Linked DNA regions of Macaca fascicularis. The protein of the gene in region 1 purifies or fractionates together with the protein of each later gene. This does not show direct contact. Links are inferred from orthologs where the notes say so. Each region holds a gene or a part of one and is shown on either strand. Other genes may lie near its edges.

Region 1 (4,297 bases):
GTTGCCCAGGATGGTCTGGAACTCGAGAGCTCAAGGGATCAGCCCGTCTCGGCCTCCCAAAGTGCTGGAATTACAGACTCGAGCCACTGCTCCCAACCAGCACATTTTATTAATACTTATGATTCCCCCACATCCCCACTGCCCTCCAGACACAAAACAATCAATCCATTGCTGCCTCATAAAAACACAAACTCATCACCTTTCCCTCCCTCCTGAATTCCCCGTTTTTCACAAAACTGGCTCCCCATCTTCCAGAAATAATCCGTTTCTTTCTACTCTCCTTACATCTCCCAGGTTCAATTCCCTACGGTTGGCCGGGCGCAGTGGCTCACGCCTGTAATCCCAGCACTTTGGGAGGCCGACGTGGGCGGATCACCTGAGGTCAGGAGGTCAAGACCAAACTGGCCAACATGGTGAAACCCGTCTCTAGCAAAAATACAAAAATTAGCCGGGCGTGGTGGCGCGCGCCTGTAATCCCAGCTACTCGGGAGGCTGAGGCACGAGAATCGCTTGAAATCGGGAGGCGGAGGTTGCAGCGAGATCGCACCACTGCACTCCAGCCTGGGCGACAGAGCAAGACTGTCCAAAAAAAAAAAAGAAAAAAGAAAAAAATCCTTACGGTTGCCTCTCCCCTGGGAAGAGGAGAGGCAACTTCTCTTTGCTGCCAGGCTCTTCACCTCCAATCCAGCCTCACATTCGGTATACAGTATACGGCCAATTTTCTAGAAACACATCTCCAGTCTGACTCTGCAAATCATAAACCTCGGGGACTTCAGGCATTTTCCTCCCTGGTGGAGTATTCAACTGCTCCACCCAGCATTCAAGGACAAACTCAATTCGGCGCCACATTCATCTCCCTTTATCCCTTCTAAGTGGAATACCGCTCCAGCGCCAACGCAATCTCCTCCTCCCTCGCCCTTCCCTAATCCCTTGCCTGCCCTGTTTCCCTGTTGAGCTCCTGAAACACTTCGCATCTCTCCCCGTTATTCCAGTCTATCTGGTGAAAAGGTTATTTGAGGACCTTGTCTACGCTGCCCCCACCAGATCCCGCTCCCGGCGCCACAGGCTGGGCCCCAACAGGAGCTCCTCAATCTAAGTGTCTACGAGAAACCCAGGGAGTCTCCACGAAGGAGGGACTTTGCCCACTAGAGACTAACACTGGCCTCCGAATTGCCTTCCTGGAGATTCGGCCTAGCGGCTCTCAGGAGTCGGGAGGGGCAAGAACGTCTCCCCGGTGCAGTGGAAGAAGACTGCCGGCCAGCCCGGGACTCGGAATCCGGGGCCAGGGCCTCGGCAGGCGCCCGCTCGGAAGCCGGCAGCGCAGACGCGGACAACCCACTGCTCAGCGGGACACATCTCCGGCCTTGCGCCGGAACGCCGCTTGGACAACAACCTTTCCGCCGAGTGCAGGCCGAGCGCTTTTGGGCGCAGCACGCAGGAACCGGAAGTCAATGGAGGAAGACCGGACCTACTGACTCAATTTGGAGATGAGCGGCCCTACCCTCTTCATGGCGGGAGGTAGGGTGCTTGGCACACTGGGGTAGTTTCCTGTCTGTCACTAGCCTCTGACCCTAGAGGCTAATGGAATAGGGCTGGAGGTATTCTGGAGGAACCTGGAGTGTTTCCTTCCTCATGTCCCTCATGTCCCTTGTTCAGGCCCCTCTCTTGGAGCCCCAGCCTAGTTGACGGGGCGGTTTTCGGAACATTTGTGCTTCCCTGGCCTCAGGTTCCACAGGTGGCTCCTCAGAGTGGGCGGATGGTTCAGATTCTCACAGCCGCTTGCTTACCTCTGGCCGCATTACTTTCCTGTGGCTGCGATGTTAGAGTGACTTCCCACTGGTTTTACAAAGTTATGCATTGTATGGTGTTTCTCATACTTGCAAAAACGTCATGGTAGAAATCTTGAAAAGTGTACGGAAGAAAATAAAACTGCCCTTAAATCTACCACTTAGCTGAAACATTTCTTTCTTTTTTTTTTTTTTTGAGACGGAGTCTCACGCTGTTGCCCAGGCTGGAGTGCAGTGGCGCGATCTCGGCTCACTGCAAGCTCCGCCTCCTGGGTTCACGCCATTCTCCTGCCTCAGCCTCCTGAGTAGCTAGGACTACAGGCGCCCGCCACCGCGCCCGGCTAATTTTTTGTATTTTTAGTAGAGACGGGGTTTCACTGTGGTCTCGATATCCTGACCTTGTGATCCGCCCGCCTCGGCCTCCCAAAGTGCTGGGATTACAGGCTTGAGCCACCGCGCCCGGCGAAACATTTCTTATAAACGTATAAAATTTAATTTTATTCAGTTCCACCAGATGAGATACTAAAATGTGAAAATGGAAGTGAAGAGAAACCTTTTTTTTTTTTTTTTTTTGAAACAAGTTACACTCATGTTGCCCAAACTGGAATGCAATGGTGTGATCTGGGCTCACCGCAACCTCCGCCTTCCGGGTTAAAGCGATTCTCCTGCCTCAGCCTCCTGAAGGTAGCTGGGATTACAGGCATACGCCACCACGCCCGGCTAATTTTGTATGTTTAGTAGAGTCAGGGTTTCTCCATGTTGGTCAGGCTGGTCTCGAACTCCCAACCTCAGGTGATCCTCCCACCTCGGCTCCAAAAGTGCCAGGATTATAGGCGTGAGCCACTACGCCCGGCCTAAGACAAACCTTAACAGGAAATATTAGTTACAAAAAGATTCCTCTAAATTAAAAATATCAAAAACGTTAAGCAGTTGGAATAATTATTTCAACTACCTTCTTCCTAATGGGTGTAAAATACAGTTTTCTAGGTAGTAAAACTTTGGACTGATCCATAAAAATCGGAAGACATCTCTCGTGACTTGAAAACAACAAAAGCTGTATTTAAAACTCTATGTAATATAGTTTAAAAACTAATCCTCTTTTAAAGATGATTCTCCAGGACAATTTAATATTGTCCTCTACTAGTTCTTAAATTCCGGGAAAGTATTTGTGACTTTGCAAAGGATCTAGTCAAGCTTGCAACTAACACTAAAGGAAGTAGGACATCCAACTTACATTTTGCTACATTTTCCTTTTAGAGAGGTGGAGATGCTTTCTGGCCCCGTCGAGGTCATCCCTGTTCCGGGTCTTACATAATTCCTGCTGTCGGAAAAAATCCACTACACCTAAGAAAATTACTCCCAATGTTACTTTTTGTGATGAAAATGCAAAGGAGCCTGAAAATGCACTTGACAAGCTCTTCTCTTCAGAACAGCAGGCTTCCATCTTGCATGTGTTGAATACAGCATCTACTAAAGAACTTGAAGCTTTCAGATTGCTTCGTGGAAGAAGGTCCATCAATATCGTAAAGCACAGAGAAAACTTTGGGCGATTTCAGAATTTAGAGAGTTTAATGAATGTGCCCTTGTTTAAGTATAAAAGTACAGTTCAAGTTTGTAACTCCATACTTTGTCCAAAGACTGGAGGGGAAAAAAGAAAGTTACTGGAAAACCGGTTCCTGAGAAAGCTCCTCAAACCAGACATAGAAAGAGAAAGACTTAAGGTATATTCTTCATGTCTGCTATACTGCCTAATATTTGAGAACCTACTCTGGAAAGCAGTCTTCGGGGCATTGGGTTGGGAAGTGGCTAAGACAAGGTTCTTCAGGTTTAGTTGGCAAGTATATGGTCACTACCAAATAATGAGATGTACAGATAGTAAATTGGCAGTTGAGAGGAGAGAAAACAATGGGCTGTGACTGTTGTGGAAAGTTTACTGGAAAAACTCAATTTAGATCTTAAAGGAGAGATCCTTTGGCTGGGAGAGGAGGGGATTCTAGGTAGAAAGAACAGTTAGTGTTGAGAAGCAGGTCTAGGCAAGGCTTATTTAAGAGGAGCGTCATTGGAGATACTAGGCTGTGTCTAAGGGTGATGTTGGGATTAATGAGAAATTAAGGAGTAAAGATGGGTTATGGCCTTTCTAAAAGCACTTCTTTTTCCATTATCTTAAAAAAATAAGTACTACAAATATTTGACACAGCTTTTTTTTTTTGAGACGGAGTCTTGCGCTGTCACCAGGCTGGAGTACAGTGGCACGATCTTGGCTCACGACAACCTCCACCTCCCAGGAACAAGCGATTCTCCTGCCTCAGCCTCCTGAGTAGCTGGGACTACAGGCACACGCCCCCACACCCAGCTAATTTTTGTATTTTTAGTAGAGACGGGGTTTCACCACGTTGGCCAGGATGGTCTCGATCTGTTGACCTCATGATTCACCCACCTCGGGCTCCCAAAGTGCTGGGATTACAGGTGTGAGCCACTGCGCCTGGACACAGCATTCAAATATTAAACTT
Region 2 (4,282 bases), on another chromosome or scaffold:
AAGAACTGACTAGTGTAAAATTTTGAAAATCTACCACTTTATTTTGAAGGAAAGTATACATCCTTCAAAACTCCACCAACAATTCCTAGTCCAGTTTTCTATTGTACAGATTAAAAAGTTAAATTCCTTGTGGCACTAACCAAAACTTAAAAATTAACAGAAGACTGAATTAATTAAAAAAAAAAAAAGCATACTAACTAATCAAAACAATCCACTGTGCAATGAATATTTGAACAATGAAAAAAACCTACCAAGCATCCCAGTCAATTACATAGTTCTTGCTTCCATATTTTAATTTTGGACTTTCAGGAAGGTATATTATTAAACAGGTCGATTTTGTGGACTGTTTAAACCTTGTAGTATTTCAAAATATTACCCTTTCTAAACCAAATCTGTGGTCCTGGTCAACTTTTTTTTTTTCAAGAAAAAGAAAGGATATGTGTTTAAAATACATTCCGTAGCAGTAGAAACATCTTAGTGTCTCAAAATCTATTTACAAAGAACCCTGCTGATCCTGTGCATTTCGCTGAGGTGCTACTTGCACCCAGACTTCATCATCTGAAAAAGAACTTGAACTTCCTGACTCAGAGTCCAGCTCACTGAATCCATCTAAGTCCCATTCAGTACTAGACTCACTCCGTGCATCATCTTCCTCAGTAATAAAACTCTGACCAGGTTCAAGGCAGGAAGGATAAACACGGGCACAAAGGCAAATAAAGCCAGAGTCAAACTGCAAAAGGCCTAACATAGTACCTATATTAATCCACTGATCTTCCCTAGTATCATACTCATACACTGTTACTCGGTTCTTTTTCCATTGTGGGGTTGTAGAAGTGATGAGAAGCAACTTTCGGTCATGATTGACAATCTGGTAGTTGTGGGTCTCTGAATCCAAAGGAATATTACTAATCCGCCTCCATTCTCCCCTAGCTGGGTTGTAGACCTTCATGACTGGGATGTCACAGATACAATAGATTTCATCATTGAAGACACATGCTTCCTGAAAGTCACTGCGTTTAAGAGAAGCACAGTTCAGCCACATATTGTGGCTAGGATCATAGCAGAGCATGCGCTTACTGTTGACAGCATAAAGATAGTTCTGAACCACTATGAGTTCAAAGGAATAGAAGGAATGAGGGACAGGAGCCACCAATGCCCACTGGTTTCTCTGAACACTGTAGCATTCCACTTCCTTCAACTTAACTCCAGTAGTAGGGTCTCGCCCCCCCAAAATGTAGATGTAGCCATTGAGATATGCCACATCCATGCCCTCACGACACAGCAAGCGATCTGCAAGTTGCTGCCAACTATTCTGAGCTGGTTTATACACCCAGAGGTCTTTCCTTGGCTGGGCAGCTAGATAGATGTCATGGTCTGGGGAGACACAGACAGCTGAGGAGGTAACAGTCTTAGTGTGAGCAAAGCTGGTCAAAGGTGATGGCATTGTGTAAATGTCCCCTGAGTAAGGGTCATAGCAGAGAAAGGGATCTCTCGGGTGTCCAAAGAAGATCACCATCTCCTTGGCACACATACCCAGTCTCTGGGGTGGATTTTCTGCTGCAGATACAAGAGAGTTGCTGCTGCTACTGCTGCTGCTGCTGCTGTTTGGCACTGGCACCAGAGACTTGTACAACAGGTCACCATAGCGCATCTGCAGGGCCCCTTCAATAACGTCCAGGCAGTACTTCTTCACGATGGGCTTGGTCAGCAGCCCTTCTAAGTAGTCCTGATCTTCTTCAGTGAAGTGCATCCAGCGCACGCACTTGAAGACTTCCGCAGCACTGGGACCCCGCTCCTTGGGAGCAGCCTCCAGCCACTGCACAGCTACATGGCATACAGTCCGCTCACTCTCTATGTCCAGACTATCCAAGCGCAGGACAGCCAGCAGCTGGGCCAGGGTCAGATCTGCTAGAGTCTCTTCCCGAATTGAACCCATTCGGCTGAGCTGCTTGAAGTTCTGAGCTATATAGGACTGGGCCTGAGATCGAAGCTTGTGATGGTCGAAGGCGTCTGCAAACTTGAGGATGGCGGTGCAGTTGGTCAGGTCAAGACGTCGGGCTAAGAAGGAGGCACAGGCTTCCCGCACATACTCCAGTTGCAGCATGTCGGAGGCTGCGTACAGGCGCTGCACATTGGCCTCGCTGAGAGAGACACGACCCGTGTAGCAGTAGTCGACCAACACCTCGAAGGACTCGGCGTCCACATCGTGCATGGTCACGCTGGCCTGCTGGCTCTCGTACATGCCACCTGTGAACATGCTCTTGAAGTAGGGACACGCAGCTGCTAGCACGTTGCGATTGCAGGAAAAGAGGCGACCCGTGCCAGGCCCGCTGCCAGGCGTCACCACCTCGATGGTCACATCACACAGCAGCCGCGCGTCGTAGAAAGACTTGAGCTGTGCCAGCAGGGCTGCAGAATGGGCCGTGTCCTTTAATTCCTCTGGACCCGTGAAAAAGGCCGAAACCGAGGGCTTGGAAATCCTCTTGGGCCGCCTCCCACCGCGGGGGCTGGCGAGGCGGCGAGAGCGCGGGGCGTCTTCCCGGGACTGCATGGTGGAGATGGCGACGGGCGCTGATAGCGAGAAAGGCTGCCGGACCCGGCTCTGGCTCCTCCTCAACCTTCCCTCGCTGACGCTAAGACAAGCCGCGTCCTGGAACAGACTGCGGCACGGGCCGCACTTCTGAATTCAGCCTTAGCCCGCGGTGAGGTCTCCCTTTATTGCGTAGACAGTGGCTGACTCACCCTCTCTCACTCCCGCGCCCTTTCTCCGCCTCCGCTCGCCCTCACAGGACCCGCTGGCTTGGAGCCGCGGAAGGCCCCACTGCCGCGCTGGCGATCCCGCTAGGCGCCCAGGAGAACTACCGCTTCCAGGTTGCCTTTCGCGCCCCGAGGCCTGCTGGGGCTCTCGGACGGCCGGGCGGGGACAGAGGGAAAGAAACCGCTTTGCATGTTGGGAGTAGTAGTTTGTGTAATATCGCGAGCTTTCCTTTCGCTGACTGCCCTAACAGTAGAAATTAATTCTGGATATGATGGTGAAGTGACGATGTCTCACTATTGTTGTCCAGGCTGGTCTTGAACTCCTGAGGGCTCAAATTATCCTCCTGCCTCTGCCTCTCAAAGTGCTGGGATTACAGGCGTGAGCCACCGGGCCCTGCCAGTATTTCATAGGGTTTTGTGTGATTGAATGATACGTTACATAGGATACTTAGATACATGTATTTTTTTGGTTAGAAGAACAATAAAGCGTTACCCCGTGCCTAGAATGTAGCCAATAATTGTTAGATTCTCTTTTATAATTTATGATAAATGAGGCACCCACTAATTTGAAACCAAAAAATTTTTAAAATTTTTAAAATTATTTTAAACCGCAAAATTTTACAAAGAACTTAGTTTTTAATTTTTATTCTTTTGAAAGATTTTGAAGGGCATTAACTATTTTCAATGTTAAATGGTACGTATTGGCCTTGTTTAATAAGGATGTCTTAGACGACTAGGTTGAGGTCCTAAAGAACGGTGTTAATAGATGGCCTCAAATATGCAAATCGGGCATATAAAAATAGATTATTTGCTACTCTCACTAACATTTCATCTCTGGGGAGCAGGAATATTTTCATTAAGCTCCAAATATGAGTGTTTTCAAGTCGTCTAATACAGTCTCTTTCACTGCCATTCCACATATCAATTAACAGATTCTGTAATTGCCTTTATTAAGGAGTTTTAGGGAGTATTTAACTCAAAATATTTCAAGAAACAGACTTTGTTCTGTACAAAAGCACGTGATTCTCAGAATTCAGCATTAGTACATGCCCTGACATTCCTTGAATTAACATACAGTATAGCCTATGCTTTACAAAAGTCTTTTATATTTGCATTGATCAACAGTTAAATCATCAAAATCAAGTATTAGAGATTTGAGGCAGGAAAATAGGGTCTGGAGGCAGGGAACATAAGGCCGATTCACACTTTAGCTATAACAAGAAATACCCTCTCCATAGGGTGTATGCCGAGTAAATGAGTTTGTAACTTTAATTCATTCTCTTCGTTTACATAGGGTATACACCAAGTAACCAGTGAATCCTCTAGAGGGTATTTAAACCTCCAGGAATTCTGTAACAGGGCCCTTGAGCCCTGTGCTGGGCCTGCGCCCACACTGGAGTGTACTTTCATTTTCAGTACATCTCTGATTTTGTTGTTTCATTCTTTCCTTGCTTTGTTTATGTGTTTCTTCCAATTCTTTGTCCAAAACGCCAAGAACCTGGACACCCTCCACTGGTAACAGATT

Evidence for each region.
Region 2: the proteins of TEFM (region 1) and KBTBD7 purify together in Homo sapiens (co-immunoprecipitation; 5 studies listed by BioGRID and IntAct, counting the BioPlex papers as one, with this or other methods). This does not show direct contact. The link is inferred for Macaca fascicularis from reciprocal best matches to the Homo sapiens genes TEFM and KBTBD7.

What each region holds. Positions count from the first base shown.
Region 1 is NC_088390.1:38,407,460-38,411,756, reverse strand, and holds the start of TEFM (transcription elongation factor, mitochondrial), read left to right. Parts: upstream 1-1,445; 5' UTR 1,446-1,487; coding exon 1,488-1,518; intron 1,519-3,044; coding exon 3,045-3,508; intron 3,509-4,297. UniProt on the Homo sapiens protein: Transcription elongation factor which increases mitochondrial RNA polymerase processivity. Regulates transcription of the mitochondrial genome, including genes important for the oxidative phosphorylation machinery.
Region 2 is NC_088391.1:20,547,939-20,552,220, forward strand, and holds the start of KBTBD7 (kelch repeat and BTB domain-containing protein 7), read right to left. Parts: upstream 2,864-4,282; 5' UTR 2,552-2,863; coding exon 494-2,551; 3' UTR 1-493. UniProt on the Homo sapiens protein: As part of the CUL3(KBTBD6/7) E3 ubiquitin ligase complex functions as a substrate adapter for the RAC1 guanine exchange factor (GEF) TIAM1, mediating its 'Lys-48' ubiquitination and proteasomal degradation.